5 linked regions of the Nothobranchius furzeri genome follow. The protein of the gene in region 4 purifies or fractionates together with the protein of the main gene of each other region. This does not show direct contact. Links are inferred from orthologs where the notes say so. Each region holds a gene or a part of one and is shown on either strand. Other genes may lie near its edges.

Region 1 (5,451 bases), about 8.3 Mb from region 4:
TAGGAAGTCTGACTAAATATTGTACCTATTGCAGAAAAAATGCATTTTTAATTCTAGGCACTATTAAAAGTTCAGAATAGGTAAGAAAGAAATCACTTCATAACTGTGGAGATTAAATCACTCACTATAGGGCTGAATGATTTTAGGAAAAGATTGAATTGCAATTTTTCTTGCAGAAATTGCGATTTCGGTTCAATTCACGATTTTCTGCAAACAAAGGTCCAACACTAGCCTGCCAAGCCATCCTATAGATTAAGTGAAAAGATGGTCTAGATTCTAATCTAGTACAACAAATCATTCACATTAATATTTACTATTTAGTCATACAATAAAAACAGTTAAAGCTATTCATATTTTCTCCCATAATTATATTTATTTAAATTTGTAATGTGTTTGTGAAGCAACATGTGCTTGTGATTTTTATCTAGAGAGGAGCTTTATAAAAACATGTTCTACTCCAAAAATGCATGGAGGAAATCTGTAGGTAGAAATAGCTTTTAAATGTATTAAATAAAAAAAATGCACACAGTTTTCCCTGCATTTCCAAGGCAGGCTGGCTGCACGTTTTTCGAAGCCGTCTGATAGTTTTTCCTCACTAAAATGTCAGTTCTGTGAGAGAGACGAACACATTCTGACACCTTAGCTTGTTTGAACCAACATATGCCATCAGAAACATTCAAACCATTTTAAAAGAGAAGTTTAGCTTTCAAGTCAACTAAAGTGCGCGACTCTGCAGTCACACTGATGAAGCATAAACCAGCTTTAGAAACCAGCCTGAACCTGCTCCGATGTGATGAGTCTCTCTCTCTCCCTTACTCAACTACGTTTTCTCTCTCTCTCTGTCCCGGGCTCACCTATGGTGCCATTATAATCACCATTAGCATCACTGTGTGTGGGAACATAAAACAGGGAAAATAACCTAAACATGCTGCTCTGTCAGCTGTTGAGTTGGGCTCGGCTCTGGACGGTACACCCCACCCCCTTCCCCCGCGCTGGCTTTTGCCGACCGCCATAACACAGGGGGAAACCCCAGATGTAATAAATAAATAAATAAATAAAGTTGCACAACTGATCCTGGATCAGTCTAAACCACAAAAACCGCATATCTGACGGTCACGTGATTGTGCTGTTTGAAATCGCAATTTCGGTCCAAAAACGATAGATCGTTCAGCCCTAACTCACTAGCTACCCAGAGAGAGTAGGGTTTGTGTTTACAGTCCAGGGGGATCCTGATTCGACACTATCTGATTGGGGAGGAGCAGGGCACGATGCCATAAATTTGTTCAATCCAGCCAATTGCATAATTTGGTCAAAAGCTCCAAAATGTGGATTTTGCATGATATAGTTTCTTTAAAATCTTTACTTCTGCATCCACCTCATAAAAATATATAAAAATATCTAAATGTAAAACATTTAGTTAGATTTATGTTGGTTAAGATTCCCTTCTTGTCTGCTTTGCTACTGGCCATTCAATGTATATTTTTTGTATTTGGGTACCTGTATACATGCATTTGATCTGTCTTCTACTTTATTCACAGTTATGCTACAACCATTTGACTATGACCCCAATGAGAAAAGTAAACACAAATTTATGGTGCTGACCATTTTTGCCCCACCAAATGTTACTGACATGGACTCTTTGGTAAGTGATTTATATTACTTTGAAAATAAATATACATAATTGTATGCAACCTGTTTAAACTTTTGATTTCTGAAACGCTCATTTTAAAGTCTTGAAACTACTGGATTTCACTGCAGATTTAATCTATAAATATATCTATATTAGCTATAAATATATCTATATTAGCTATAAATATATCTATATTAGCTATAAATATATCTATATTAGGGATGTGATGGTACATGTATTGAAATCTTTTTGGTCCAGAGTGTTTGGTTCAGCAACGTTCTTCGAAAGGCCCAACCTACCCTATCTACGTTGGCTGGTGTTGGCAGTAGACACCGGGTTCTCCGTTGACTGCGAGGACCGAAAGTGAATGCCGTAAATTTAAGATTTACTGACTGTAGTGTATGTATGTTGCTTAGCAACCATGAAGATATTAATGACTCCACCAGGCGGGCTACTTTTGTGTGTAGCAAGAGTGAGTTTTCTAAAGCCGGAGCAATCATAACTGACAATAAATCGACCCGTTTAACAGGCAATGTCAGCAAATTAATATTTCTATTAAAGGCACAAAGACTTAACATGAACCAGTTTCTTGGACAAAATTAATGACAAGTAAAGTTTTATTTTAAATGTTGTTTTGACTTTAAATATTTTAAAGGTGAGGAACACTGAAAAAACATTTTTAAAGTCATATTTCTGATTATTATCAGTCACCCTGAGTTTTTAATACAAGCTGAATGTAGTCTTCTACACCTATCTCTTGTGTTAGCTTCTGATAGAAAATAAACGGTGAAACTCTAGAAATCCTGACAGATCTTTGTCGCATTGTCCCTTCACGTTCATGGACTCACCTATCTTCACTTGCGATGGGGAAGGCTGTTTTTGGTTTAGCGTCCAGGAAACTGAGAACATCTTGGCTGGTCGAAGCTAACCATTAGCTTTAGCAACTCACCCACACAGCAGAACTCCTCCAGGCTTGTGGTATTTGTGGAAATAGAACAGCAACTTTGCAAGTTATGAGTGCATTGTTGCACCGTGTGTGTGTGTGTGAGGGGTTGTATGAACTAGTCGCTGTTACGTGATAATGAGTGACAAGATGCAGTCCTCGGAAAAGACAGCAGGTGACGAGCCCCTGCGCATCAGGAGGCAACGCGCTGTGCCAGAGCGTCGGTACTGACACCCGCCGTAAAACAGACATTTAACCAAATTGTGACCTTTACCCTCTTGCAATTTAACCTTTCCCTCACCCCCATCCTAACCTTAACCAGCTTGTGCATGCAAAGCTCTGATCGTTGACGCGCTCCAGACATCTGCGTCCTGAGCACGGCCACAGTAACATTATCAAACTAGGTGTCGCCACCTCAAAAACAAATTTAACACGCGATCGTTCATGTCGGCTCATTTCCTTTTATGTGTTCTGTCTTTTATTTGTGCCTGATGCTTTTCGCTGCTGTGGAGCGGGGCGTATCACCTGTTTCGTCCTCCGCTGACGCACCTCACTGATGCGGCCGGCGAGCAGCGCACACTCCGCTGATTTTGCGGCCGGTAGATCTTTTAGAACTGCAGTTCAAAGGTGAATATATATGAACCCAGGTAGCAGTTTTTCTTTAGGATTGAGAGGAGATGCAGGAAGATAATAAACAGACAGGACAGAAATATAGTCAAATAAAAACAAGTTTGTTTTTGTACCTGGTAGCAACAAACAGACACCATTGAAGGTAATCAGAAGTGAGGAACAGAAAATGAAATAATTATTTTAATGTTTAGAGCAGCAGGAACTCTGAGAGGCTGCAGGCGCATCAGTGAGTTTGTGGCCGCTGCGCAGCGGGAGGTGGGAGAGCTGAAGCAGAGCAGTAAAGATGCAGAAACTACCGTTGTTAAAGGAGATGTGTTTAACTTTGAAAATGTGGGCGCAATTTTACAGCATCTGTCTGCATTCCTTCCATCGTGGGGGTTGTTGTTAGCAGCTCAAGGCTGCCTTGGCGTCAGATTTGGATAACAAGACTTTGTTTGGGTCAGGCAGAGATAATTTTCCTCTCTGCCTTGAAGTCTGTATTGATCATTCCAGTCCTCCAGTGAAGCCAATTTCAGGTTTTAAACATCTCCACACCGTCCAGCGACCCTCTCCGAGATGACATCCATTTGGCGCACTAATACCGGCAACGCAGCAAGGACATTGTCCCGCTTACGGTTCACCTCGAGTAACGTCCCAGTCTGTGAGGCATCCGCCCGGGCGGTGCTTTCCATGGGTGCGGGTCGCACTCCAATCGCTCCCGACTTCCCAAATTTCCAGAATACCAGATATCCTCCTACTCCAATCAGAAGAAATCCAGTGATTATCCAGCCAAATATCCACATGTCTTCAACATCCTCAATGGACAACTGAGAGAGACATACGATCCTCCAGACCTGCCAGGAATCGAGCGCATATCCCGCTGCGTGTGTCCCTTGAGGGCAAGTGGGAGCCCCCTCCTCCGTTCTCATCGTGGAAAAGATCTTATCAATCACGTTGAATGACCAATTAATTAAATCCATTTCTAAAAAATAGGGATTTCCAGAAGAAATGCAGAGAAGTGCTCTGTAGGCAGACAGGACAAAGAGCCTTGGGGAAAAAAAGATAAGGGAGCAAAAAGCAGAAGTGTCTGCACTCTGCTATTTTTGACTTTTCTGAGCCTGTCAAGTCCTTCTTTTGACCCATTTTGCCAAAGGAAATGTAGTTGCCTAATAATTATGCACACCTGATATAGGCTGTTAATGTCATTAGACACCACACCCCTTCTCATTACAGAGATGCACATCACCTAATATGCTTAATTGGTAGTAGGCTTTTGAGCCTATACAGCTTGGAGTAAGACAACATGCATGAAGAGGATGATGTGGACAAAATACTCATTTGCCTAATAATTCTGCACTCCCTGTAGAGACAGCTGACACAAGAGGGGGTGGTTGTTTTGCTGTTTCTTTTCAGGACTCTTGTGATGTTCCTCGATAATACAAAATGGTACAAAAGGGCCAAAATGCTGACAAACTATTTTGGTTGTCATATATATTTTCTAAGCTATGTATTATGGCCCATATTATTTTAGGTGTATTCACCCTTTGTCCGCCAGAGGGCAGCAAAAGCTTTGCAACAATTAAATAAAGAAGATCTTGTAGTTTTCTCTGAACTGCTTTATGACAACTAAATATTCTGCAGTTGTTCTGTTTTAATTGACTTGTATAAATTAAACTTCCATATAATCATTTAACTACTATAAAGCTGTTTTTGTAGTAAAGTCAGATCTTCTGTGGGTTTGAGTTGATGATTAACTGCATCGTTTTCACTTATTTTTTTTCCATTTCTACCAGTGGAGAGACGCAAAATCTGATGAACTCATGGATTCCAAACTGAGATGTGTCTTTGAGCTGCCTTCTGAAAATGATAAAGTGGTAAGAGGCGAAAAAACCCATCCATCCGTCTGTCCGTCCGTCCGTCCGTCCGTCCGTCCGTCCGTCCATCCATCTTCATCGTCATCTGCTTATCTGGAGTAGAGTCGCAGGTGCAGTAGCCTAAGTCGAGAGGCCCAGACTTCCCTCTCCCCAGCCACTTGGGCCAGCTCCTCCGGGGAAATACCAAGGCGGTCCCTGGCCAGGTGGGCGACATAGTCCCTCCAACGTGTCTTGGGTCTACCTTTAGGCCTCCTCCCAGTTGGACGTGCCTGGAAATCCTCACCAGGGAGGCGTCCAGGAGGCATCCTGACCAGAGGAGCCAGTTGAGATGACTTGGGCATCTGGTTAGGATGCCTCCCTGGTGAGGTTTTCCGAGCACGTTCAACTGGTTGGAG
Region 2 (5,988 bases), on a different chromosome or scaffold from region 4:
TGTATTTTTACGATATCCTCTCCATTTAAAGCCTTTGTATACTCGCTGACCTCCATCGCGTTGTGTTCGTTTTTTTTATTGCAGAAAAGCATATTTACATTACAAATAAGGCAAGCATGCCAATGTATTCAGATGAGAATCGAACAGTCAGTGAAAAGATCTTTAACAACTGACAGCGCCATAGTCTCCCCCTCCCCTCACGTCAAGAGTCTGTGTCATTCTTGACAGCTCACTTTCTTTTCAAGCTCACATTAATAACATAATTCGGTCAGCATACTTCCATCTACGTTCCATAAACCGTCTCCGTCCCTCACTGACCCCTCACACTGCCGCCATTCTCGTCCACAGCCTCGTCACGTCCCGTATCGACTATAGCAATTCACTTCTTTATGGTCTCCCCAACAAACTCCTTCATAAACTGCAAATGGTCCAGAATTCAGCAGCCCGTATTATCACCAGAACCCCTTCCTTTCACCACATCACCCCGGTTCTCCAGCAGCTTCACTGGCTCCCAGTTAAATTCAGGTCCATCTTCAAAATTCTCCTCCATACCTTCAAAGCAATCCACAACCTCTCTCCTCCATATATCTCAGACTTTATAAGTATTCACACCCCATCCCGTTCACTCAGATCTTCTTCTTCCATCCATCTTGCGGTTCCTTCTGCCCGTCTCGCTACCATGGGTAGCAGAGCTTTCAGCCACTCTGCTCCTCGACTCTGGAACTCACTTACCCCAGACATCAGGAACATCGACAGTTTTACCCTTTTCAAAACAAAACTCAAAACATATGTTTAAATCTGTCTACAACCTCTGATTTTATTGAACTGTTTCTCTCTTTGTTTTTTTCTTGTTTGGGTTTTATTATTGTTTTATTGTATTGTATCACGTGTTTTCTGTCAAGTGACCTTGGGTGTCCTCCTGAAAGGCGCTTTTAAATAAAATGTATTATTATTATTATTATTATTATTATAAAAGGGGGAGGACAAATGCAAGGGACCACTACACAGTTCCAGGAAGTCTACACAACAGTCTATACATATCTTCATAGCTGTTATTATTGATACATTTAAGGGATCTTAGATACAATCTAAAATCATGTACAAATGCATTAAACACAGGGGGTGATTTCAGTATTTTTTGTTTATGTATGAAGAATTTTGCCAGACAGAGAAGTAGATTGTAGCAGAGTTCTTGGTTGTTTGTTTGAAGGAGAGTTCCAAAGGTGATGCCATCTCTTGAAATGGGACATGGGATTCCAATTTGAGGTTGAATCTAGTTTTCAAAACAGTTCTAAAACGTCCGTGTCTTGTTGCATTCAAAGAAAATATGATCAGTTGTTTCAACATCCTTCCCACAAAAGGAACATGAATTATCATCAATGTTAAAACGTTTTCTGAGCACATCTTTTGAGGGATAGACATTGTTTAAAATTTAAAAATGTGTTTCTTTGACTTGCAAAACACTTCTTGCCCCATCCTGAAATTTCGCGCATTGTGACGTCACGATAGTCACGTGAGTAAAACCCAGCAATAGCCAATCATAGGAGAGTCTTTCCAGCCAATCAGAGGCGAGAAAGACGGGACCTTCCTTGGACATCCTACGATTCCAAATGACTCACATGGGGCGTCTGCGTGTGTCAATGGGACGAATCGGGAAGGAACGCGTTCGTGGGCCGTTCGGTTCATTTTCAGGAGCCATTTAAATCGGTCTGAAACAGCTGAACGGTTTGTGGAACGCAATAGAACTAAATATGATGTTAATTTTTCATCTCATCATAAATGTCTGAACTCCAGAAACGGTCTGGGTCCACGAACCTTTGCCAGTTATTCCCGAAATCCGTGTTTGTAGCAAGAGTTCAGATGAGTTCCGAACGAAAAGATCATTCCCGTACCGCACAGCATCCATCGCAGCGGCTCTGTCCAGCGGTTCTGGTGTCCGACAACGAGAGGTGAGTTGAATTTCTACTAAATACCGGGGTACAGTAACAAGAAGGTGGATCCGTTAGTTGTTTGAGCCACCAGCAGCTTCCGGTCTGCCTGCTGTCCACCTACGGCGGAGCTAAACCACCGCGGCGCGGCCTGGGTGAGCTCGTAGCTAGAGCCCAGCTCGGCTGCGGACGGGACTGGTGTCATTTCCTATGTCAGTGATGTTCGTCCGAACCTCTGTTGTCCTTCAGCTAGCATGCTAACTTCGCGTGCCGAGCTCAAGTCCGTGATGTGGGCTTAACGTCTGTCAGCACCAACATCCGGCCTGCTCCTGATCCAGGACCGGGTCCCTGGTCTCCGCTGCAGGACCGGGTTTCCAGCCCAGCTGACTTTCCTAAACGAGAATCTGGTGCAAAAGTTCGCTTATGTCAGTAATTCAACTTGAAAGGTGAAACTAGTGTATGAGACGGACTCATAGATACTTCGGGCCTTGATTTGTCATATCTGTGACGATTCTGGCTTCCAGCTGATGACAAGCCCACATAAACATCTCAGACCATCAGATTCTTGTGGAAAGGTTCACCATTCCAGACTCTGATCAGCTGATAAATCCAGAACACCTGCAGAGGGTTCCTGAGCCTTTAGACGGACTCCTGCTGTGTCATATTTGGCACAGATCATGGTTAAAGCTGCTTTAACACTAACCTGAAGTACATTCTCTATGCTCCTAAATCCAGCTGGTAATTAGAGTTAGGTATTATCCTGGTACACAATAGCACCAATGCACTATTCAGTATGTGTTCAGTACCTCGTACCAGATTTACATAGTATGTCCGTGTCTCTTACAATATGCTGCTCAGTTCTTCATTTTTCTATTTGTGGTTTTTAGTGCTGGAAGGTTCCCATGCTAGATACCTGCCTATGTGTGTATATATACACGTGTACCGTTGTATTATTTCTCTTCAGGCTAAGTGTTGGTGCTGCTGTAACAGGTGGATGTCCCCACTGTGGGATCAGTAGGGTCTATTCTATTCTATTCTAGAATCAGCCACTCTTGTCTGGCCATCAGTCACTTGGAAATGAAAAAGCAGAGATTTTTCCCAGTCCTTGAACTCAGCGTTGCTAATCATAACTGAGAGGTTCTAGCAGTGTGCCTTAGGGCCGGGCTCACTGGGCCAAAACTTAAGTCTCAATATAACGGAGCTGAATTTGCTTAAAACTGTCTTCAGTAATTGTATGTTTAAAATCATCAGCAGATTAAATGCATACCGGTATGTAGCGGGGTGAATATTGTTGCTTTTAAGCTTAATATATTACCTTTACTCATGACCAATAAGCTGTGATATAGGATATAACCTGCTTGGTCTTTGGATGTTTAATCAGAAGATTCTAGGATTCTTTGCTTTTTCAGTGATCAAACACACTTCATCTCAATTCAGACAGATTCAGGTTTATAAAAGATAAGAAATGTATTTTCTAAACAAATTAAAACAAGACAAGTTAAATAGGACGACTGTGATGGTTGAATCTAAATGGATGGAAGGTGAGATGTATGGAGCTAGGATTGGGACAATATTCAGCGTAACTTGTGCCAAGTTTTGTAACTTGGAACATGTTTCATCACATGTAACTTTGGATTCGTAACTTGTAACTTTAGTTTTATAACTTGTAATTCTCAATTTGTACTTGTATTTCTTGTTTTGTAACAAGAACATTGTATTTTGTACATGCATTTTTATTTTGTAAAATCAAACTTTAATTTTGTACATTTACTACTCATTTTGTAACATCAAACATTCATTCAGAAACATGAAACTTTCGTTTTGTAACTAGCAGACTTCCAAATTAAAAAAATCAAGGTACACGTTTGAAATCAAAACTCTCAAAACACACATTTCATTCTACAGGTACAGACCTCAAATCTGTCTCGATTCTAGCGTCAGTGGGAGGAGCTTGGGTGGAACCAATGAGAGCACGAGTCTTGGCTACCAATCACGTTTCTCGAATTCCTGTCCAATCATTGGGAGAGGAGGGCAGGGTTCTGTCAGAGCTGTAGAAAGAGAGTTACAACACTCTTTGAACTCGCGGTCACGTGGTTCATGGAGCTCCCAAACATCACAGCGCCGTAAGTCAGTTTGAACAGCGTATGGTGGGACAATCACAAAAATTTAACCTAATCACATTTCCCCTGGCGATTTGTGGTAATTATTGAATAATATTATATATTATATTAAATATTATGTCCTAACTCCTTCACAAAGTAGCCAATTTATATTTTTCCGAGCATTTGTAGGAAGACAAACACCCATGACTGTTCTACATTACAGGAACACGACAGTCCTAACACACTGTAGAACACATTTAGACCACATACATTACTATAATATATTATAGCAATACATTTGATGTAGTAATGCAACACACTGCTCTAATATAAGCATATTTAATAACTTTAAGTCCTACAAGAATCCCTAAACTCGAGTTGTAATATCCATTTTAAAGTGTTTATTGAATAGAATTCTGCTCCAGCTTACCTTGAAGAAAATATGTATCTGTTTATGCTTTGAATGATATCTATTATGTTCAGTAGAATACATTTTACAATCATTACTTTATATTTTTATGTGAAGACAGTACATGCATCTGTATCCAGTTCTATAGCAACTAATTAAAAATAAATTTTCAATAAAACTGTATGATTCATCACAGTAGATAAAAAGTGTTATTTGTGGAAAAAATGAACACCAAACTTGTACATGTATAATAGCATTTTTAATAAAGCATTTTACCAACATTATGTTTAGTCATTACATATGCACAAATAAGCTGAATCATTAATTATGAGCAATGTACTCAAGACCTAATGAAGCTCTTTTGAGTAACTTTATTTTGATTATTATTAAAATAAAATGTGTCCATGGGTTAAAAATTGAAATGGCTAATTTTATGGTTGGATAAAATTTTTAAATGTAATTTTACATCTCTATATTTTTGGTTTAGTTCAGTATTTCTATATGTACAAAAATAGTATTTTAATAATTGCTTTATAGGTTGATTATCTTACCTTGGTTGGCTGCGCTGCATATAGCAAACAGTCTGAGGGAGGAATCAGAATTATGGCTTACCCAAAGATGCAGAGAGAAGAAGAAAATGGTTGGCTCAAGTCAGCAGGAGCAACCTCACCATGACCAGAGATCACAATAACAAAAAGCTGTGTGCAGTGAGTTTAATGTGCACTCTCACATGTTTTCTATCAAGGCTCTACATGTTCTGCTCTCAACTGCACAAGGCTGCAATTAAACTGTTAAACGTGGCAGGAAATAAACTAATACACCACTCTACAGGCACATTTTGAGGAGGGACAGTTTACTAAGACTAGGCAAGGCAAGGTGAGACTCAGGGCTGATGCTGTGTTTGTTCATCGCCCTGAACCAAGGAGGAGGAAGGACCCCGCAGTGAGAAGTACAGCAGAACCACTGCATGTTGATCCACTGACCAGTGACCACAAGTACTCAAGTAAACTGTGGTACAAATCTTTTGAAATATTAAGACATTTTTATATATTTTATTTTAAAATTATTCTTTATTCTAACAGTGTCATTATAATTTCAGAGAATGAGGAAAGCAGCAGCAGCAGTGAGGCAAATGAGGTGAGGGAAAGTGAGACGGGACATGAGATGGTATCAGGAGAGAGGGACATCCCAGGAAGCCATGAGGAGCCGGCGTCAGGGCCAGGATGAGAAAGGAACAGGCTATGCAACCAGGGTACCCAGCTGGAAAACCTACTAAGAGAGGAAACAGAAAATCAAAAAGGCATGAAAAACACATGAGGCATTAAATGGAGTAAACAGACAATCAAAAAGGCCGTACAGCTCTGTTTTTCAGTGGGTTCAACAGGCTGCAGGTTTCTTCAGGGCATGAGTATCCCTCTGCCTGATGTTAGAACCCTGCAAAGACAAATGCAGCCCATTAACTGGAACCAGGTGTGTTAGGAGAGGTGTGTGACATGCTCAGTTTGAAGGTTAAAAATCTGACAGAGATGGAAAGAGAGTGTGTGCTCAC
Region 3 (5,970 bases), on a different chromosome or scaffold from region 4:
ATCAAGTCGTCAAAGAGTTATTGTATATTACAATGGCTGTTGGCAGCAAGGATCTCTAGTAGCGGTCAGTGTTGCAGCGAAACTGAAGAAGCCTCTGACTGAAGACACTCTTCCGTTGTCGGACAGTCTTGTGAAGAGAATGCTCAGGGTTGTCCATCATTTTCTTGATTCTCTGGAGAATCCTCCTTTGCATTATCTCCTCCAGTGGTTCCACAGTCGTCCCCAGAACAGCACCAGCCTTTGTTATTAAGCTGTTGAGCCTTTTCAGGTCCCTGCTTCTGATGCTACTACCCCAACAGACGATGGCTGAAGAGATTACACTCTCAACAACAGACTTGTAGAAGATGTGCAGCATCTTGCTACAGACATTGAAGGACTTAAGCGTCCTAAAGAAGTGCAGTCTGCTGTGTCCCTTCTTGTAAACGGCGTCGCTGTTCTTTATCCAGTCCAGTCTGTTGTCCAGGTGAACTCCAAGGTATTTGTATTCCTCAACCATCTCCACTTCTTCTCCCATGATGGAAACAGTGTTTGACTCCACCCTGTTTCTTCTGAAGTCTAAAATCTTCTCCTTTGTTTTGTTCACGTTCAAGGTCAGATGATTGTTTCCACACCATGCCACAAAGCGCTCCACCAGCTCTCTGTACTCAGCTTCCTGTCCATCTCTGATACACCCGACAACGGCTGAGTCATCTGAGTATTTCTGTAGATGACAGGTCTCTGATTTGTACTGGAAGTCTGAGGTGTACAGGGTGAAAAGGAATGGTGAGAGTACAGTCCCCTGTGGTGCTCCAATGTTACTGATCGCCTGGTTTGATGTGCAGTTCTTCAGTCTCTCAAACTGTGGTCTGTTTATCAGGTAGTCTTTAATCCAGGCGATAGTTGAGGCCCCCACCTGTGTCTTCTGGAGTTTCTGGCAAAGTACATCAGGCTGAATTGTGTTAAATGCACTGGAGAAGTCAAAGAACATGACCCTCACAGTGCTGCCTGCTTTGTCCAGATGACAGTGGGTTGGTTGAAGCAGCTGGATGATGGCATCTTCAACTCCAACTCCATGGCGATAAGCAAACTGCAGCGGGTCCTGACATGTTCTAGTTTGCTTATTCAGGTGGACCAACAGGAGTCTCTCCAGGACATTCATGATGTGGGATGTCAGGGCAACCGGTCTGTAGTCGTCATTGACTGATGGGCGAGTTTTCTTTGGAATTGGAACAAGGCAGGATGTCTTCCACAGGACTGGAACCTTCTCCTGGGCCAGGCTGAGGTTGAAGAGGTTCTGCAGAATCCCACAGAGCTGCTCTGCACAGGCCTTCGGGTCTTTGTTGGCCTATGGCAGGTCTTTATGAGCAGGAAACATCTTTAAAATGAAAAAGCTTAGAATTGCAATGAAAACTCAACTGGGACAGCTCTGGCAACCTCTCTTCCCATTACCATAGAAACTGGGCAGATTAAAAATCATTCAGACTTCAGATATTACAGGAAAATGTATTAAATTAGCTTTCAAATCTGTTTATGATATTGTTACCAAACTGCCTGTATGTCGATGCCTTGAGTGATTTTTCCATGCACAGTTATATATTTGTTTCCCAGTCTTAAGTCTGAGGAAAGGGTATTTCCACAACTGCAACGCAAAGCGAGCTGGAAAGCCTCGAGAGGGTGGCCAAGTTATCGTCTTAATCAGCGAACAGTGATGCTGGTTGCAGTGAAGATGAAAGGAACCAAGATGATAAATGGGTAGAAAAAGATGTGGAAATTGTGATTGCAGAGATGATGACAGAAAGAACAAATGTTTTCAGAAAGAACAAACATTTACAGAGCTGAGGATGTACCATTTGATGTTAATAGAGTAGAATAGAATAGAATAGAATAGATTAGAATAACCACTTTATTGTTCCTTAGTGGAAAATGTTGGTATCACTGCAGCAATTACATTTACAAAAAGGAGAGTAAAAAATAGAGTAAGTAAGATTAAAGAGCAAACAAAACAAACAAAAAAAAAACATTTGCAGAAATGCTTAAAATATTTAAAATATTGAATATATACACACTTTAAGAAATTAAATAAAAAAATATCTGATAGACATTCTCCTTTTTAAAATAGATTAATTTAAACATTAGATAAAACAATAAAAAAAGTTAATAGCTCAAATTTGTTATAAAAATATTTTTTTGTAGAATCTAAACTAGGTGGGTTCAAAGGTCTAAAATAATGTGGCCATTGTTGTTGTTATTATTATTATTATTTTGATCTTTTTATTTTTATAAACGTAACTCACAGGTTTGTGCTATGGAAGTGGAAAAAGGTGACATTTCCGGCAGCAAGTGAAGCCGACACCAATGAAATGCCAGGTGGGCGCGGCTTCGTGTGCACATACACTACGTCATCACAGTTGGGTCTCATGTTTACGTGGAAAACATGGCGGCGGACTACAATCAAGATAGGCAGTGATTTCGAGCCAAGCCGAACGAGACACGCTTCAGTCTTCAGCTCTGAGACTTTTGTCGCAGACGTTTCGTATGACGTTCTGTCCCCCTTGTTTCTGCCACAGAGACAGCGGAAATGGAAGACGAGGAGAGGCAAAAGAAGCTCGAGGCCGGCAAAGCTAAGGTATGATTTTAAACATTACCACTTCTGCTCTAAACTTGTAACAGTTAGCTGTCGAGAGCTTGTTTCCTGCGTTTATTATGTCTGTCAGCTGTTTTTAACCCCCCTCCCCTTCATTCACCCCTCTCAGCTGTCATGCGCCCTGCTTTGACAGCTGAGGAGGGGGGCTAGCAATGCTACTGCTAACCATGGTTTCTTTGTCATGCTGCATTATAAACATTTCTCATATGTGCTTTCCTCTGCCTGGCGTGTAGGCAGGCGATGCTAGGTTAAACAGCCACAGCTCGAGCCGTCGCATCGTTATTTAGGGCTTATAAGCGCCGCCTAAAGCGACTCTGACAGGCTGGTGTAACTGGATTTACAGGGCATATCCTCACTAGCAGGAAAAGAGGCACCGCATCACATTCTTGACGTTACCTTGACCTTAACAGCAAGGATTACGGACAAACATGTCAGAGTAACGCACATTTTCTTAAGGGACTGCAACTCGTTTATACAAAAAGAATGAACTGTTTAACATCTTATGTCGGTGACTAAATCTGGAGTTCCTCAGGTCAATAGGACAGATACATTTCATGTCAGCTGTATAATTTGATGCATCTTTATTACACAAATAAATAAAATGTGGTTTTCAAGATGTGGCTGAGTCAAAAAGTGTGTCACAGCCTTGTGATCACAGCTTGCATAGCATATCTCAACCTATAAGATTACAAAATTGTTGCTCTTGTATTTTGAGAATTTAGATGTTGAATTATCTGTTAGATGCCCCTACGATCCTACTGAGGAATGACTATTTCAGATAATGATTGAATGATCTACTATTATACTATAGACTTACGCGTCTTTGGGTGTCTAGAAAAGCGATATATAAGTTCAAATAAATGCATTATTATTATTATTATTATTTTAGACGGGAAAAAAACAAGGGTTTCCATTCTGATGCTGCAGGGAATGCTCTTCAGAGGTTTTCTTAGCCCAGTTTCAGATCATATAAAAGACCATCTCCTCAGCTGTTATTTTTGGAAGTATAAAGGCTCCTCATTGCTTCAGGCTGGTATGGCTGCTGCTTTTCTGGCACCGTGTTATGCCACCATGTCCTCACATGCAGCAAAATAAATAAATAAATAAATCCAGGGCAATATTACTTTGATAATAGTTTATAATAATTATGAGGCCTTGAAGGTTTAGCTTGAATGAAAGAAGAATATGATGAGGGCGGTCTTTTTTTAAACTAATCAAAATGATGTTGCAACACTTGATTTGAGTGATACTTAGTGGGTACAAAATGACATTTTCAGTGCAACGTTTGTGCCTTTCTCTTACAATCAGTAGCAAAGACGATGGGAGGATTGCTTTGAGTGAAATGAATGATGAAGAGTGAGCTGTCAGTCATCTGTTGTTCAGCACCAGGCAAGAGCATTCTGAATCTCACCAGACAAAAGCAAAGTAAAATCTGTGCGCAGGCATTGCTAGACTATTGTTTCCAGTTACGCATTTGTCTTGTAGTCTTTTATGTTTTCTTTGAAAGCTACAGAAATATTGACAAGTGTGCCACTATCGGATAAGTTATTTAATTCATTCAATAACAATTAATTCTTCAATTATACATGAATTAAATTGCAATTTCAAATGGTTTGTTAAACTGTCCATCACACTGGTATGTTTAGCAGCTAATAATCCTTCCAACTAGAGCTGGGCGATGAATCAAAAATGTATCGTTGTCTGTAGGGCTGGGACGACAATCAGTAAATCAATTGATCGTACGATCGATGAAAATGAACTCAATAATTTTCCAGCCTAAATATATCGAGGTTAAGAAATGTTCAACTCTATTATTATTATTATTATTTATCATATTGTTGAAGTGCAGTTTTGGTTGTTGACACTGGATATAGGTCACTGAGTGATGCATCTTTGTGTAGGTTGGCGACATTCATGTTCCTGTAAGAAGCAGTACAACCTCGAGTCATGTGATAACATTCCATTCCATTTTATTTATAAAGCACATTTTCACATGGCCGAGGCCAACCAAAGTGCTGTACAGTAAAAGCATAAAATCAACCCACGGGAAGAAGTAATAAAAAGTAGTACAGTAACTACTATAAAAACAATAAAAATAAAAAAACATCGTAAAATGGCAACTAGGCTGAAGTAGAAGCTAAGGAATAAAAATGAGCCTTCAGACGTGATTTAAAATCAGAGGGGGGGGGGGGGGGGGCATTCTCACTGCTAGGGGGAGTTGGTTCCAGAGACGAGGCGCACAGATTGAGAACGCTCGCTCTCCTCACATCCTCACCCGAACACTTGGGACCTGTAACAGGCGGTGGTCTGCTGATTGAAGAATTCGACCAGGTACGTAAGGCTGAACCAGCTGAGTCAAGTAGAGAGGCGCATAAAGATAGAGTGACTTAAAACCGAGAAGTAAAATTTTAAACTAAATGCGGTAGCGCACCGGAAGCCAGTGCAGCTGGGTCAGAACAGGAGTAATTCCAGCCTGGCACCGTGGGTTTGATTCCAGCTCCTGCCAGGGGTATTCTGCTGTTGTGTCCTTGGGCAAGACACTTCACCCAACTTGCCTGTGTTGGTGGTGGTCAGAGGGGCCGATGGTGCCAAATGGCAGCCTCGCCTCTGTCAGACCACCCCAGGGCGGCTGTGGCTACAAAGTAGCTTACCATCACTAGCAGTGTCTGAATGTGACAGTGCACAAAAGCGTCTTTGTGTCCTAAACAAGCGCTATATAAGTTTGATGATGATGATGATTATTATTATTACTGAGCTAGGTTCTGTTGAAGGTTTCTTCCTTTTAAAAGAAAGTTTTCCTCTCCACTGTCGCTACATGCTTACTTAGCACAAGGATTCCTGGAAAGTTACTGACACAGGTCAATGACTCGATTCAGTCTGCTGGGTTTTCTTACACAGGAATATTTAACTAATCGGCATAATGAACTGAACTCAATGCACCGAAAAGTCAGTTCAGTTGGAATGTTTACTTTCTAAAAGTGCCTCGAGACGACTCTTGTTGTGATTTGGTGCCATATAAATAAACTGAACTGAACAAACTCAAAGCAGCAGAAAAGTAGGGTGTGTTGAGGTTCACGGAGTCAGAAAAGGTCCGTTCTATTATCAGGCTCACCTGGAGAACAGGTGATCTTCTTAACGTGGACCTGGATAGTTAATCTCTCCAGTGGAGGAGCCCTGCAAGTCTCTGAGAGAACAAAGGACTAACCGGTACAGATTATGCAGCTCATTAATTGGCTTAATAGACACTGTGGTTGTAGAAGTAGTAGAAGTGGTTATTGTATGCAGTGGGAACACCAAATAAATGTTAATCTTTTATCAATATTTGTTGTTTTAAATGAGAATCGAAG
Region 4 (6,218 bases):
GAGCAAAATAGGAATATATTATAAACAAACTTTATAGTGAATTTAAAACTTGCAAGTGTTTAAGTTGATTGTTTTTGCCATGCAACAGTCAACAGTCTGGGCTGCATGGCGGCGCAGTGGTTAGCACTGTTGCCTCGCAGCACGAAGGTTGCAGGTTTGAAACTCGGCTGCAGCCTTTCTGCGTGGAGTTGCGTGTTCTCCCCATGCATGCGTGGGTTTCCTCCGGGTACTCTGGTTTCCCCCACAGATCACAACATGCCCTATAGGTTATAAATTGTAAGTCGCTTTAGATAAAAGCGTTTGCCAAATGAATAAACATAAACATAAAAATTGTGGTCCTGATCTGCTGGTGCAACATGGGAGGAAGAGGGAGTAGTAGTATCAGGTCAGAGGAGGTGACTAACTGGACCAGAGTGGACTTTTTTTAATGAAAATTATTCTCTTTTTCATTGTTAATCTGTAAAAATTAAGAAGACAAGTACTTATCAAGGCTTTTTCTATGAAAATAATTTTTCTATTGACTCTGTATTTTGTTAAAGTTTCAGGCTTTGGATTACAAACAAATTGACATCACCAGTTTAAATTGAAACATGCAGTTAATAAATTATGTCAAGTCTTACGTGTTTACATGAATATTTTTGTATCATGTAGATTCAAACCACAGGCTTGTGTGCAGAATATAACCAAAATATCATGGGATAACCAAATTGTTCCAGTTCAGAGCAACTGTTCGTTATTCTCCATCTTCAAGCTTCCTCTCTCATTGTTTAATGCAGGGATTATTTTTTTAAAGGGAAAGAGGAAATTCTAAAAGTCAGACAAAGTATAACTGTGCAGTTACCACTCTGGTCAAAATACACTAAGCAAACTGTTTGGCAAGCCAACTTATCATTTAACATTATAGTTCTTTCAAAAATATTCAAATAATGGAATTTTTGAAGTGTTTGTAAAGATTTTATTTGGATTTTATTTTATTTTATCAAGCTATTGTCTATATAAATGTTATTTTATTTTATCACGCTATTGTCTATATAATGTTAAACAACCATTTTTCATATAAGCAGTGAGTTATCATTCTTATCTCAATACTGAATAAAATGGTAAATGATATATATCTGAAACGCATGCTTCTGCCACAAAAAAATTATTCCAAATATCTATAATGTCAGTTTTAATGATGAAGCACTTTTACTTGTACAGCACCTTTCAGAATCAGAGGACCCCAAAGCGCTTTACACCACAGTGTATCATTCATCCATTCACACACTGATGGTGATGAGCTACAATGTAGCCGCAGCTACCCTAAAGCTCGCTGATAGAGGCGAGGGCTCTTTTGAAGACTGCAGCTGTGGCCTTCTGACGCTGGAAGCCACATGAAAGCACCTAATGTGTCCCTGGAAGAATAATGTTGATTGGGCGAAAGTTGTATTCGATGTTTCAATTAGTCTTTTTGGATATGTAGGGATTTCATTTCAAATATTCAGATTCGGTTTAACTAAAAAACAAACAAACTTCCCAAACATTCTTTAAAATGTCTAATAGGGATGCATCAACATGAAAATGTGGGCCGACATCAATATCTGATATTATTATTGCTGTTATGGCCGATAACCCAAATTTATTCACATTACATTCATATAATATTTACACACACACACATGCACGCACACACACACACACTCACATACACTTATGGGATGACCAAACAGATGCAAAATGGACAGCTAGATGGAAATTAATATCAGACTGATACAATATGTTGAAAACTACTAACATTAGCCAAAACGGCTATTGATGCATATTTCTGCATCAATAGTGTTTTAACATTTACTTTTTAATTTAGAATCTCATTAGACTTTGGATTATTATTTTAAATATCTTGGTAACACTTTAAGGGTGTCTCTATTACTAGGGATGCACCAATATCTCTTTTTTCCAAACCGATACTATACCGATACCGATACTTGGATCTGAGTACTCGTCGATGCCGATTACCGATACCGATACTTCCGCCACACAAAAAAATGCAATGGTTTGGAATACAGATTTTATTCTCTGCTTTCAACAGGAAAAGACTGTGAGATAGATAAAAAGTAAAATATATGAACGGAAATCCTCACAAAACTAAAATATTAGGTGAACAGAAATGACAAGTTACAGTGAAGCCATTTTCAAGCAACTGCATTGGTATCGGTTCCTGGTATCGGCTAACTTTTACCTATACCGATACTGCTATTGGTATCGGTGCATCCCTATCTATTGCCGTTATTTACTGCATTATTAAGCATTAATAAACAAAGAATCCCTTCATTAACGTTCGCGAAATTTTAAACTATTAAGTGTCCTTACGGTTAGCACAAAAACCCGGTGGGCTGTGGGATGTCTGCTAAGCATCACTTTATATTAACATTAATATTAAATGGTTGTTACTACTTTATTTAATAGTTTATTTACGCTTAATGTTGCACTAAGTAACGTTAATAAAATGACCCTTATTGCAAAGTGTTATGAACATCTTGAATTTAAATAGGGACATGCGGCATTCCAGCATTTCTTTGGGAAAAGTGTCAGTGTGGTGTGTTTATATGCCACAACGGCCTGCCTTAAGCGAAACACAAGTGACCGCTAGCTTGATGTCAGCCGTGCGGAGACGGCGGCGCTGAGGTAGCAGCAGCGGAAATCTGTCAGAGGGAAGGAGGGGAAGGCTGTGGGAAAAGTGAAAGGGCAGCGGAAGGGACACTGAACGTGACTTTGTCACTTTCAAACCGACCGAAGATTTCTATCGGGTTGTTTTCTCCTCTTTGAAAGACCTCGAAAACATATGCTGGAAGGTTAGCTAGCCGCCGCCGCCATCATCTCCTCAGTCGGAGCTACCGCCGTGTCTTCTACACCATGGGGAATGCTGCCACCGCCAAGAAGGGCAACGAACTGGAGAGCGGTGAGTCCCGGCTTCCGTTATGGCTTCAACCGGATTTTGTTTAGCTCCGTTTTAGGCGTTTCATTAAGCCTTCACAAGTTAGCTACATGTATTTGTTAGATATATAAATAGTAGTAGTCCAGGCTAGGGTACAAGGCTGTCTTGGCATCCAGGGGGAGGGGAGCAGCGCGGAGTGTGTAAACAAGCTAATAAAGCATTTGGGGTAACTGTCAATCTCATGTGTATCAGCGCATTTATAATATAGTGTATAGCGAGTATTTGCATTTTCGCTAGAGCTCCGTTTATCTAGGTTGAATTCAGCTAGCCTGCTAACTTTAGCTTTTATGGTGGGTGGGTGGGGGAGTATCCCACAGAAGGCCCCTCATTCCCTGGCAGTGGCTGTTCAGGCCCTTAAAGTCAGCCCAGTTCTGCTCTCGTTTTCCTGCCAGTCTTTGGATATAGGTTAAAACGCCTAAACCCAACTTGACCCGAACACTCGGGTTAGTGTAACATAAAACTGAGCAAAGTGAGTCTGTGCGTTTGGCTGCAGGCTCCTCTCAGCCCTGCCAGCTGTGTCAGACTAAAACTTTGCAGTGATGCTCTTAAATCTGCAGCGATAAACCAAAGACCCATGCATAATTTGTATAAATAGACATTGCTTTTTATTTTGAAGGCAGAGTAGGACTGGCTCTGCCTCAGGCCTCACTGCCACATTTTATTCTTGGATACATAAACAAAGCCGTCCCTCTCAGCAGAGCACCACAACCAAATATGGAGATGAAATAACAAATTCTCTCTTCCCATTAAAAAAATGGGACCAACTACTGTGTCCAGTATAGGAGCACACACCCTTGTGAAGACAAAACCCCTTAATCGTGGCACTTGTTCTTGGTTAGACCCCCATCTCTATTGGTAAAGTTCCCATCAGATCTTCTCACACTCGGCTCGTCATTGACTGGAGCAGCTTGTCATCGGACCTTCGTCAGAGGATAAGGAGTATTACAAGCTTTGAAAGGTTTGACGTAACTCAGCCTGGGCCAGCGTTACTTTACACTTGCATACTTTGATGTGTGCATCTGATCACTGCTTAACGTCCCCTGATGTGAATCGTAACTTACGTTTTGTGCCTGGATATAAAAACTGCTAAAGTAATGGGGGGTTATTGTGTTTTTTACAGCCACATATTTGAAATTCAAGAAAATGTACAGCTTACTTTGTTTATTTTCCTTCTCTTAAAATCCCAGGAAACCGTTTGTGCTTGTTTGGTCCCAGTGTGCTTAAATGGGTCATTTTATGATGTTGTAATTGTTTTTGTTTGACAGTTATTGGCCCAACGTAAGATGCCAAATACAACAACTCACAAGCCCATGAGGATGATCAGATCAGTGATAGTTTCAGTACTAACCAAGCAGTTGCTTTGGATTCACCTGTGATCCCGAGATCCAGGGTCGTAGCTGACTGTTAAACCTATTTAAGCCGACACCGTGCCCCAAGCTGCAGATTTGTCTGGAGAGTAGCCTCTGTTGACAAGATGACCTGGTTACCTACAGTGCTACATGTTCCCCGTGTTTACTGTGTGTAGATGTCTCAGGCTGGAACGCTTGAAAGAGCACCAGCACAGTCAGGATTAAACACACGCTGTTGTGACACTTATTTATTACACAGCACCCGTGTACTGTGTGTGCACAACAGGGCAGGCTGCATAGCTCAGCCGTGTTCTGCTTGGCTGTATTTTGGCATTGATTCCTGAGATGTTTGTCTACCAGACTATGGAGGCAGTTGATGTTTCCCCCTGGATTACAAAAAAAGTTTGTGGTTAATTTTGAACATTTAAGTGACTTAAAGATAGCACTTTCCCAAAGCAGAAGTTTTATTCTAATATATTCTAGTCACACAATGGTTTTGGCTTCATAAATAGAATTGGTTGCTTTTATAAGTATAAATAGAACATTTGGCATTTTTAGGAAATTGTAAAGGTCAGATATTTACCTCCAAATGACATTTTTTAAAGGTGTGGTTCACTCGTTAAATCAATACATTTACAGTAATCTCTAGTAGGAATGAACACCATGTTAGTTGTACTCTGGGTACAAAAGCTCAGGTGCACCAGTTTCAGGATCTAGAAGATTCCCAGATCAGAGGTGACCTTCAGGCGGCAGGATCTGGAGTCTTACTTCCTGATATTTGGACATCTCACCTCTGATTGGCTAACAGAAACCCAACGCTACCACAGACTCAATTTTCTCTGCAATGTTGATGTTTTATCTCAACAAAAAACACAAGCCTGAATGAATTCTGCTGTGTGGTGGAGTTGCTCATGCTAACGGTTAGCTTCTACTATCTGAGACATTCTCTGCTGTTTCCTGGATGCTAAAAAAACAACAGTCTTCCCCATCGCGAGTCAAGATGGGTGAGTCCGTGACCGTTAAGTGACAGTGTGACGTAGATCTGTCAGGGTTTTCAAATCCTAGTATTTCATCATCTAATTTCTATCAGAAGCGAATGTAGGAGTTAGATGTAGGAGACTATTTTTGTGTTCAGCCTGCATTAAAAACTCAGAGTGACTGGTTATAATCAGAAATTACCATTAAAAATGGGTCTTCAGTGAACCACACCTTTAATGTTAAACACAAAAACAGCTTTTGAGAATCTTGGTTTACAAAATGTTTAAAATTACTACTATTTGATCACTTGCAGTTCTATGACTTAGTGCTTTGAACATAATTTCAAATTCCTAAAATCAAACAAAATTGCAGATTAAAACATATTTTGTAATTAGAGCCTTTTGTAGCACATGATGTTTAATTTTTAAATGTTTTTTTAAAGTCGTATCTGTTCAATCTGACCTAACGTGCATGACTGAACCTCTGGTACATGACATTCTAGTACACCTGTTCTTTCACTATCATAGTATCTGCTTTAATTCCTCAGGCGATTGCTGGTCGTTTTGTCATTGCTGTTCCTTCTATTCATGGCACATACTTGTTTGCTGCTGTTACACTTATTATCTACATGAACTCTGTATTTCTCTCTGTCTTCTCTTCTGTGTCATCCCATCCATGTGGGTGATTGTTCCTGCAAAATCCATGGTCATCTGTAGAGACCTTTGGTATGCAGATTTCTCAAAAAGGCCAACAGAACAGCAGAAATGCGTTGGTTTCATTGCGAAAACCTGCAGGATGTGCTTGCTTTTATTGTGCTTTGATAAACAAATCAGTGATGATATTTGTTTTAATTTATGTTACTTTTTTTTGTTCTTTTTTGTTTTATTGTCTGCACTCTCTCAATCTGGATATCCACG
Region 5 (5,995 bases), on a different chromosome or scaffold from region 4:
CCACCTCCTGCTCGCCATATGGTTAGTTCTCGTTTTCTTAAAGAGAGCACAGCTAGCAATTTTTCTGCTGCTTTTGATCCACCCTGTTCTTCTGATAACGACCCAGATTCCTTAACTTCTCAGTTTAACGAGCACGGCCTCTCCATTCTGGACAACATCTGTCCTGTCAGAACCAGATCAGGTCCTGCAGTGAACCCTACTCCCTGGTTTAATGACAGCCTTCGCAGCCTGAAGCGCCAATGCAGGAAAATTGAGCGCTTGTGGAAGAAAACCCATCTCCACGTCCATCTGCTGCACCTAAAGGATCTTCTGACATCCTTTAACTCTGCAGTCAGAGACGCTAGGGTTTCCTATTTCTCCACCCTGGTGTCCCAGAGCAAAGGGAACCCCAAGGTGCTGTTTAACACCATCAGCAGCATCGTCTCTCCTGCCTCTCCTACAGCCTCCATCCACTCTGTTGCAGACTGTGAGAACTTTCTGTCTTTCTTTGTGGACAAAGTCAATAAGGTTAGATCTAGCATCTCTCCTTCAGCCTTATCGTTGCCTCTCCCGACTCCAACCAGGCCCATCATCCTAGATAGCTTTGCTCCTGTTTCTTTGCCTGAGTTAACCAAACTAGTTAACTCTATGAAGACCTCTGCATGCCCCCTCCACATCTTACCCTCATCTTTGTTTAAAAGTGCTTTTCAGTCCATCGGTCCCAGCGAGCTTCTCTGGTCTCTGGTCAGGTCCCTGCTTACTTTAAGAACGCTGTAATCCACCCGCTTCTTAAAAAACCGAGTCTCGACCCCTCTCTCCATAGCAGCTTCAGGCCCATCTCTAAACTTCCGTTCATCTCCAAGATCTTGGAAAAGGTTGTGGCTAAACAACTCACAGCTGCTCTTGGTGAACATAACATCTATGATAGCTTCCAGTCAGGTTTTCGTAGAGCTCATTCTACTGAAACAGCTCTTCTTAGGGTCTCTAATGACCTTCTGACTCACAGTGATGCAGGGGACTGTTCTGTTCTGGTCCTGCTGGACCTGACTGCAGCCTTTGACACTGTTGACCATCACCTGCTACTGGAGAGGCTGAGAGACTGGGTAGGCCTATCAGGATCTGCTCTGGAGTGGTTCTCCTCTTATCTCTCTGAGCGCTCCTTTTCTGTGGCCGTCTCCAAGTTTAGGTCCTCCACCACCTCTCTTACCCATGGTGTCCCACAAGGTTCTGTGCTGGGGCCTCTACTCTTCCCCCTCTATCTGCTTCCTCTTCAGCACATCCTGAGCTCCTTCAAAGGAATCTCCTACCATCTTTATGCAGATGACATCCAACTGTACATCTCCTTTAAGCCCCATGAGATGTCTAAGCTGCAGCTGTTACACACCTGCTTAGACTCTATCAAAACCTGGATGGCTGGGAGCTTTCTTCAGCTGAATGAAGATAAGACTGAGATCCTCATCTGTGCCCCAGACAAGCTGCTTCCCAAAGTCAGAGACTCTCTTGGTCAGCTTGCTTCCCACACCAAACCCTCTGTCAGGAATCTTGGCGTGACCTTTGACCCAGCTCTCACCCTGGATTCTCATGTCAGTTCTCTTGTTGGCTCTTCCTTCTTCCATCTCAGGAACGTTGCTAAGCTGAGTCCCATTCTGTCCCGCTCTGAACTTGAGACAGTCCTCCACACCTTCATCTCCTCACGCTTAGACTACTGTAACTCTCTTTTCACGTGTCTGAGCAGAACCTCCCTGAACCGTCTACAGGTGGTTCAGAATGCCTGTGCTCGGCTTCTGACCAAGTCCTCCAAACACACCCACATCACCCCGCTTCTCCTCCAGCTTCACTGGCTGCCAGTCAACTTCAGGGTTCATTTCAAGATCCTGGTTCTGGTCTATAGGGCCTTACATGGACAAGCACCATCTTACATTGGTGATCTTCTTAGTCCCTACACCCCCAGCAGGTCCCTGAGGTCCAGTGACCAAAGCCTACTGGTTGTGCAGCACCAGGCTAAAGGTCAAAGGTGACAGATCATCTGCTGCTTTGGCCCCCAGACTCTGGACCTCTCTCCCCCTGAGCCTGAGATCAGTGGACTCAGTGGTCTCCTTTAAAAAGCAGCTGAAGACTCACTTGTTCAAGCTGGCTTTTGTATGACCTTCCTCACCTCTCTCTTTATTCTGCTCTCTCCACCTATTCCACCTTCCTCAGGATCCACTGGTTTCCCTCCTTCCTGTTCACTCTCTCTCTTTCTTAACATTTTTTCTTTTAAATCCCAATTACCTATTTTTGCTCATTTTAAATATATTTTTAAACATTTTCTAAATGCTTTTTTATACTTTTACATTTTTTGTGTGTTTTTGTGAAGCGCCTCGTGATTTTTTATCTTGAGAGGCGCTATAGAAATTATATTTTCTTCTTCTTCTATTTTATGTTGCTTTGTTTAAAAAAAGTCCCACTTCTGCCCACCAGGGGCGACACCGCACCTTTGAGTTAAGTTAAAAACCTAAAAGAAGAAGAGGATGAAGAAGTAGTAGTTGTGTGTTTTTATAGACCTGCGTGGGTCGATCAGCACGTGGAGAGAGGAGTTTGACTTTGTACAGGACTTTTGTTGAAAAGCTTTTCCTTCCTGGCTCGAAGTCGTCGTGGCGGCGCAGAAGAAGGTAAATGAAACAGCGCGATCTCCCAGACTAGCATGCACCCTTGTGCCACCGACTTTTGGCGTTCTCTAAGCAGACAGCCTTTCATCTCCGACTAAATACACACCATTGACATTTCTGGGCACGCTTAGGATGTATCAGGTGTGTGCACTGAAAGTAAGTGCTCGTTCAATGCCATCGTGTCATTGAACGAGCACTTTTGCCCAGTTTTGGGCTGTGCAGCCAGGTCTGCCCCTGTGGTGTCATTCAAGCAGCCGCATGTACGTGTCCTCAGCGGGCACGGATGCGAACGATCACCGTAACAAGCACACCAGAGCTTTTATATCCCAGTAGAAGTGTCGGCTGTCGGCCAGTCAGCGCCGTTGGCTGCGGTGTTAGCATCGCAGGTCAGTAAGCTAGCAGCAGGGCTGAGGCCCGCTCGCAGCAGAACGTCCTTTAACCCGCTTCGACCCAACACACGTGTCCTCCACGGCGCCGCTGCGGCCTAGCCCGGCTCTCAGTTGGTAAAGCAAAACAAAAATGTCCAATATTTAGTCAACGTGTGTCACGTAGATCCTCTCGTTAGTAGGGCCTGACGTTATTAAGTAAAGCGCGAGGACAGATTTCATACAACTTATCCTCTGGTGAGTGAACGAGCCAGCTGTCCCGGTGGGATTAACGAGCTGTCCCTAAAATTCCTGAAAACTTCACGTTTTCCGTCAATCTAGTAAGACGACCCGAGGCCAGCAGGATTATGTTCAAACAGACGGACTGTTCTTTAGCGTCAGCTAGCCGTGAAGCTAAGTCGCTGCTGGGAGTCTCATACATGTAGGCTGTGTCCTACGTGAGAGGAAGGCACCTACAGAGGTGGCTTCTGAGAGCGAGTCTGCGTGTCAGTCCGCAGGAAAGGACCTGGCAGGGACGTGTTTCCACACACACACACACGCACACGCACGCACGATGACCTTAACGGTTCTCTGTGCCACAGTCGGGTGAGAACCACCCAGGGTCATGCAGACGTCCAAGACCAGCGTGCGTCACTTTCACTTGGGTTCAGGGTGTAATGGTGTGTGTTAGGGCTGTGCACGTTCCTAGCCAAGTTCACAATCCAGCAGACACGTGTTGCATGTTTTCTAACACCTTAGAGTGAACGCTGCTGTCCCAGGTGAGTGGTGTGGGATACTCCAAACAAGAAGTACTTTAGTTTCTGAAGCTAAAGTTTAGTCAAAGTTGGTCAGGAAGACAGTTAAAGTCGATTTTATCCTGAAATAACTGATGTAAAAATCAGCTAATGTCACTTCTCTACGAGCAGCAGTCAGACCGACGATGTGGGCTAGTCTGTCAGATGTCTGAGCATTAAGACTCTGCTACGGAGCTCCAGCGAGTCCCTCGGGTCGCCGGGGAGACCTGTTTGCTGACCTGGCTGTAGGTTTGCCACCTAGGTGGTTTCTGTTACCAGAAAGTCTTTGTGACGCCTTTCTCTGCTCATCTGTCCCTGTTTTTAATTTCAGGTGTGCCCCCTGATCTCTTGAGAACATGCTGCTGAGGTTCCGCTCCGTGGTTCCCTACACGCTGCCCGGTGTACTCGCACTCATCGGCTGGTGGTGGTACGCCTCGCGTAAGAAAGAGCGTCTAATCAGCGATGAAAGTTCAGAGGGGCCCCCGAGCGCGGACACATCTCACCTGGAGGGTAGAAACGGCGTGGATGAAAACGGGACTGCCACACCTCCACGTGAAGTGGACTTCTACGGACCTCCGAGTCTAAACCACCAGAGAACACCACATGAAATACTTTCTCCCATCCACACCCAGGATGTTGAAGCAGCACATTCCCTGGTTCAAAGTTCTGATGATCCTGACCCACTGAGTGGCAGACTAATAGCAGAGGACATCTTTACACCCACAGGTCCCACTTCGCCATCACATGAGGAAGATGTGACAGGAAGTTCGTTGAAACCCCCTGGAAGGGACTTCTTAATAGTTTCAGACGGGGAGTTTCATTCAGAGGTGGCTCCGGGGGCCTCGAGCGAGGACGCCATCACGTCTCACCGTGCTACCAAAGTCACCCGTTCGTCCTCTGTGACACGCCTCTCTGGTGCAGAAAGACCAGAGCCAGAGGGTGAAGTTGCTATGCATCAGAGCTCTGTTAACACTCAAGATGAGATTGTTTGTGCACTTACCCTAGCCAAAACACCAAGGGTCCTCCCATCAGAGGCAGACTCTCTGGAGACGTGTCTGTCAGCGGATGTACACAAACTGATACTAACCAGTACACCCACTTCTCTCACCTTCACAGTCCAGGATCCCACCAGCATGCTGGTGACCTCAGAGGACATCCGTATCAAGAGCAGCACTCAAGAAGAGCCGAATCTGGAGCTCCTGGCAGCTGGACTCATCACTGAGGTCATCTCAGCAGCCACCCAGGAAGTGCTCGGTGTCACCAAGGTGTCACCCGGTGGCAGCTCACCCGCGGTCAGAGGACAGCTTTGCTCTCTAGAGGAGCCGGTCGCAGGAACACAGCAGCACGGTTGTCACCCGAGAAGCCTTGTGCAGGGAGGCCCTGAGTGCCGAGAGGCAGCAGATGTCCAGGGAGTGCCAAATGGTGGCTCCATGACTCCAGCACGGGCAGCTGCTGAGGCCAGCAACGGGGTTTGTAAAACAAATGTCTCGTGGCCGCCGCCGCCGCCGCATCAGGCCTCTCCAGGTCTAAACGTGAAACGTAGAGGCGACGAGGGGACCGTCCTGACCGAAGACTCTGCCTGCAGCACCTGCCACTCTGAGGACGGCGTTAGCCTGGAGGAGCTGCAGAGCGGCGTGTTGGAAAACCAAACGGACGTCCTTCAAGTTACAGACTTGTCGTTGGAAGCCGTGCAGCCGCTGTCGTTGGTGGAGGCCGGCCCAGCAGCCCCAGAGGAGAGCTCTGTGGATGCTGCAGGTGTCCTAAAGAGACTTAACGGGATTGGCTCAAGAAACGGGGCTCATGGGACATGTGAGGTGGACACCGATCAGTCTGGAGGTGAGGCTCGTCCTATGCTAACGGTGAGGGTGTGTGTCCTAGCAGCCTGCTTTAATGTGCTAAAGACGTGGGTCTGCTCTGGAAGTGATCGTACTGAATGTGTTAATCGGGCGACTATGGGCCCAGGTTCTGATCTAGAAGCTTCTGATCTTGTCTGACCCATAACTTCAGAGGGTTTTGCAGCCGGTTTCCTTTTCCGTCTCATCGGGCTTTAGCTGGGGCTTCATAACCCGACGCCCCTCAGGCGGTGGCGGACGTGGTTGTGAAACCTTCTCTTTGCTGGAGGTGACTAGTAGCTGGAGAAAGGGTCGAGGTGGACTGAAGCAGCTGTTGGACACACGGGGCTTCAGAAACGTTACCATGTCATAACAAA

The links.
Region 1: the proteins of prkacbb (region 4) and vapal purify together in Homo sapiens (affinity purification with mass spectrometry; 4 studies listed by BioGRID and IntAct, counting the BioPlex papers as one, with this or other methods). This does not show direct contact. The link is inferred for Nothobranchius furzeri from reciprocal best matches to the Homo sapiens genes PRKACB and VAPA.
Region 2: the proteins of prkacbb (region 4) and akap11 purify together in Homo sapiens (affinity purification with mass spectrometry; 5 studies listed by BioGRID and IntAct, counting the BioPlex papers as one, with this or other methods). This does not show direct contact. The link is inferred for Nothobranchius furzeri from reciprocal best matches to the Homo sapiens genes PRKACB and AKAP11.
Region 3: the proteins of prkacbb (region 4) and akap9 purify together in Homo sapiens (affinity purification with mass spectrometry; 5 studies listed by BioGRID and IntAct, counting the BioPlex papers as one, with this or other methods). This does not show direct contact. The link is inferred for Nothobranchius furzeri from reciprocal best matches to the Homo sapiens genes PRKACB and AKAP9.
Region 5: the proteins of prkacbb (region 4) and akap1b purify together in Homo sapiens (affinity purification with mass spectrometry; 4 studies listed by BioGRID and IntAct, counting the BioPlex papers as one, with this or other methods). This does not show direct contact. The link is inferred for Nothobranchius furzeri from reciprocal best matches to the Homo sapiens genes PRKACB and AKAP1.

What each region holds. Positions count from the first base shown.
Region 1 is NC_091751.1:42,881,403-42,886,853, forward strand, and holds part of vapal (VAMP (vesicle-associated membrane protein)-associated protein A, like), read left to right. Parts: intron 1-1,538; coding exon 1,539-1,642; intron 1,643-4,975; coding exon 4,976-5,056; intron 5,057-5,451. UniProt on the Homo sapiens protein: Endoplasmic reticulum (ER)-anchored protein that mediates the formation of contact sites between the ER and endosomes via interaction with FFAT motif-containing proteins such as STARD3 or WDR44.
Region 2 is NC_091754.1:39,459,207-39,465,194, forward strand, and holds the start of akap11 (A-kinase anchor protein 11), read left to right. Parts: upstream 1-1,805; 5' UTR 1,806-1,949; intron 1,950-5,513; exon of another isoform or gene 5,514-5,711; intron 5,712-5,796; exon of another isoform or gene 5,797-5,873; intron 5,874-5,988. UniProt on the Homo sapiens protein: Binds to type II regulatory subunits of protein kinase A and anchors/targets them.
Region 3 is NC_091759.1:4,645,515-4,651,484, reverse strand, and holds the start of akap9 (A-kinase anchor protein 9), read left to right. Parts: upstream 1-2,391; 5' UTR 2,392-2,557; coding exon 2,558-2,605; intron 2,606-5,970. UniProt on the Homo sapiens protein: Scaffolding protein that assembles several protein kinases and phosphatases on the centrosome and Golgi apparatus. Required to maintain the integrity of the Golgi apparatus. Required for microtubule nucleation at the cis-side of the Golgi apparatus.
Region 4 is NC_091751.1:51,148,791-51,155,008, forward strand, and holds the start of prkacbb (protein kinase, cAMP-dependent, catalytic, beta b), read left to right. Parts: upstream 1-2,672; 5' UTR 2,673-2,892; coding exon 2,893-2,938; intron 2,939-3,879; exon of another isoform or gene 3,880-3,932; intron 3,933-6,218. UniProt on the Homo sapiens protein: Mediates cAMP-dependent signaling triggered by receptor binding to GPCRs.
Region 5 is NC_091753.1:61,598,993-61,604,987, forward strand, and holds the start of akap1b (A kinase (PRKA) anchor protein 1b), read left to right. Parts: upstream 1-2,452; 5' UTR 2,453-2,630; intron 2,631-3,918; exon of another isoform or gene 3,919-4,031; intron 4,032-4,117; 5' UTR 4,118-4,142; coding exon 4,143-5,622; intron 5,623-5,995.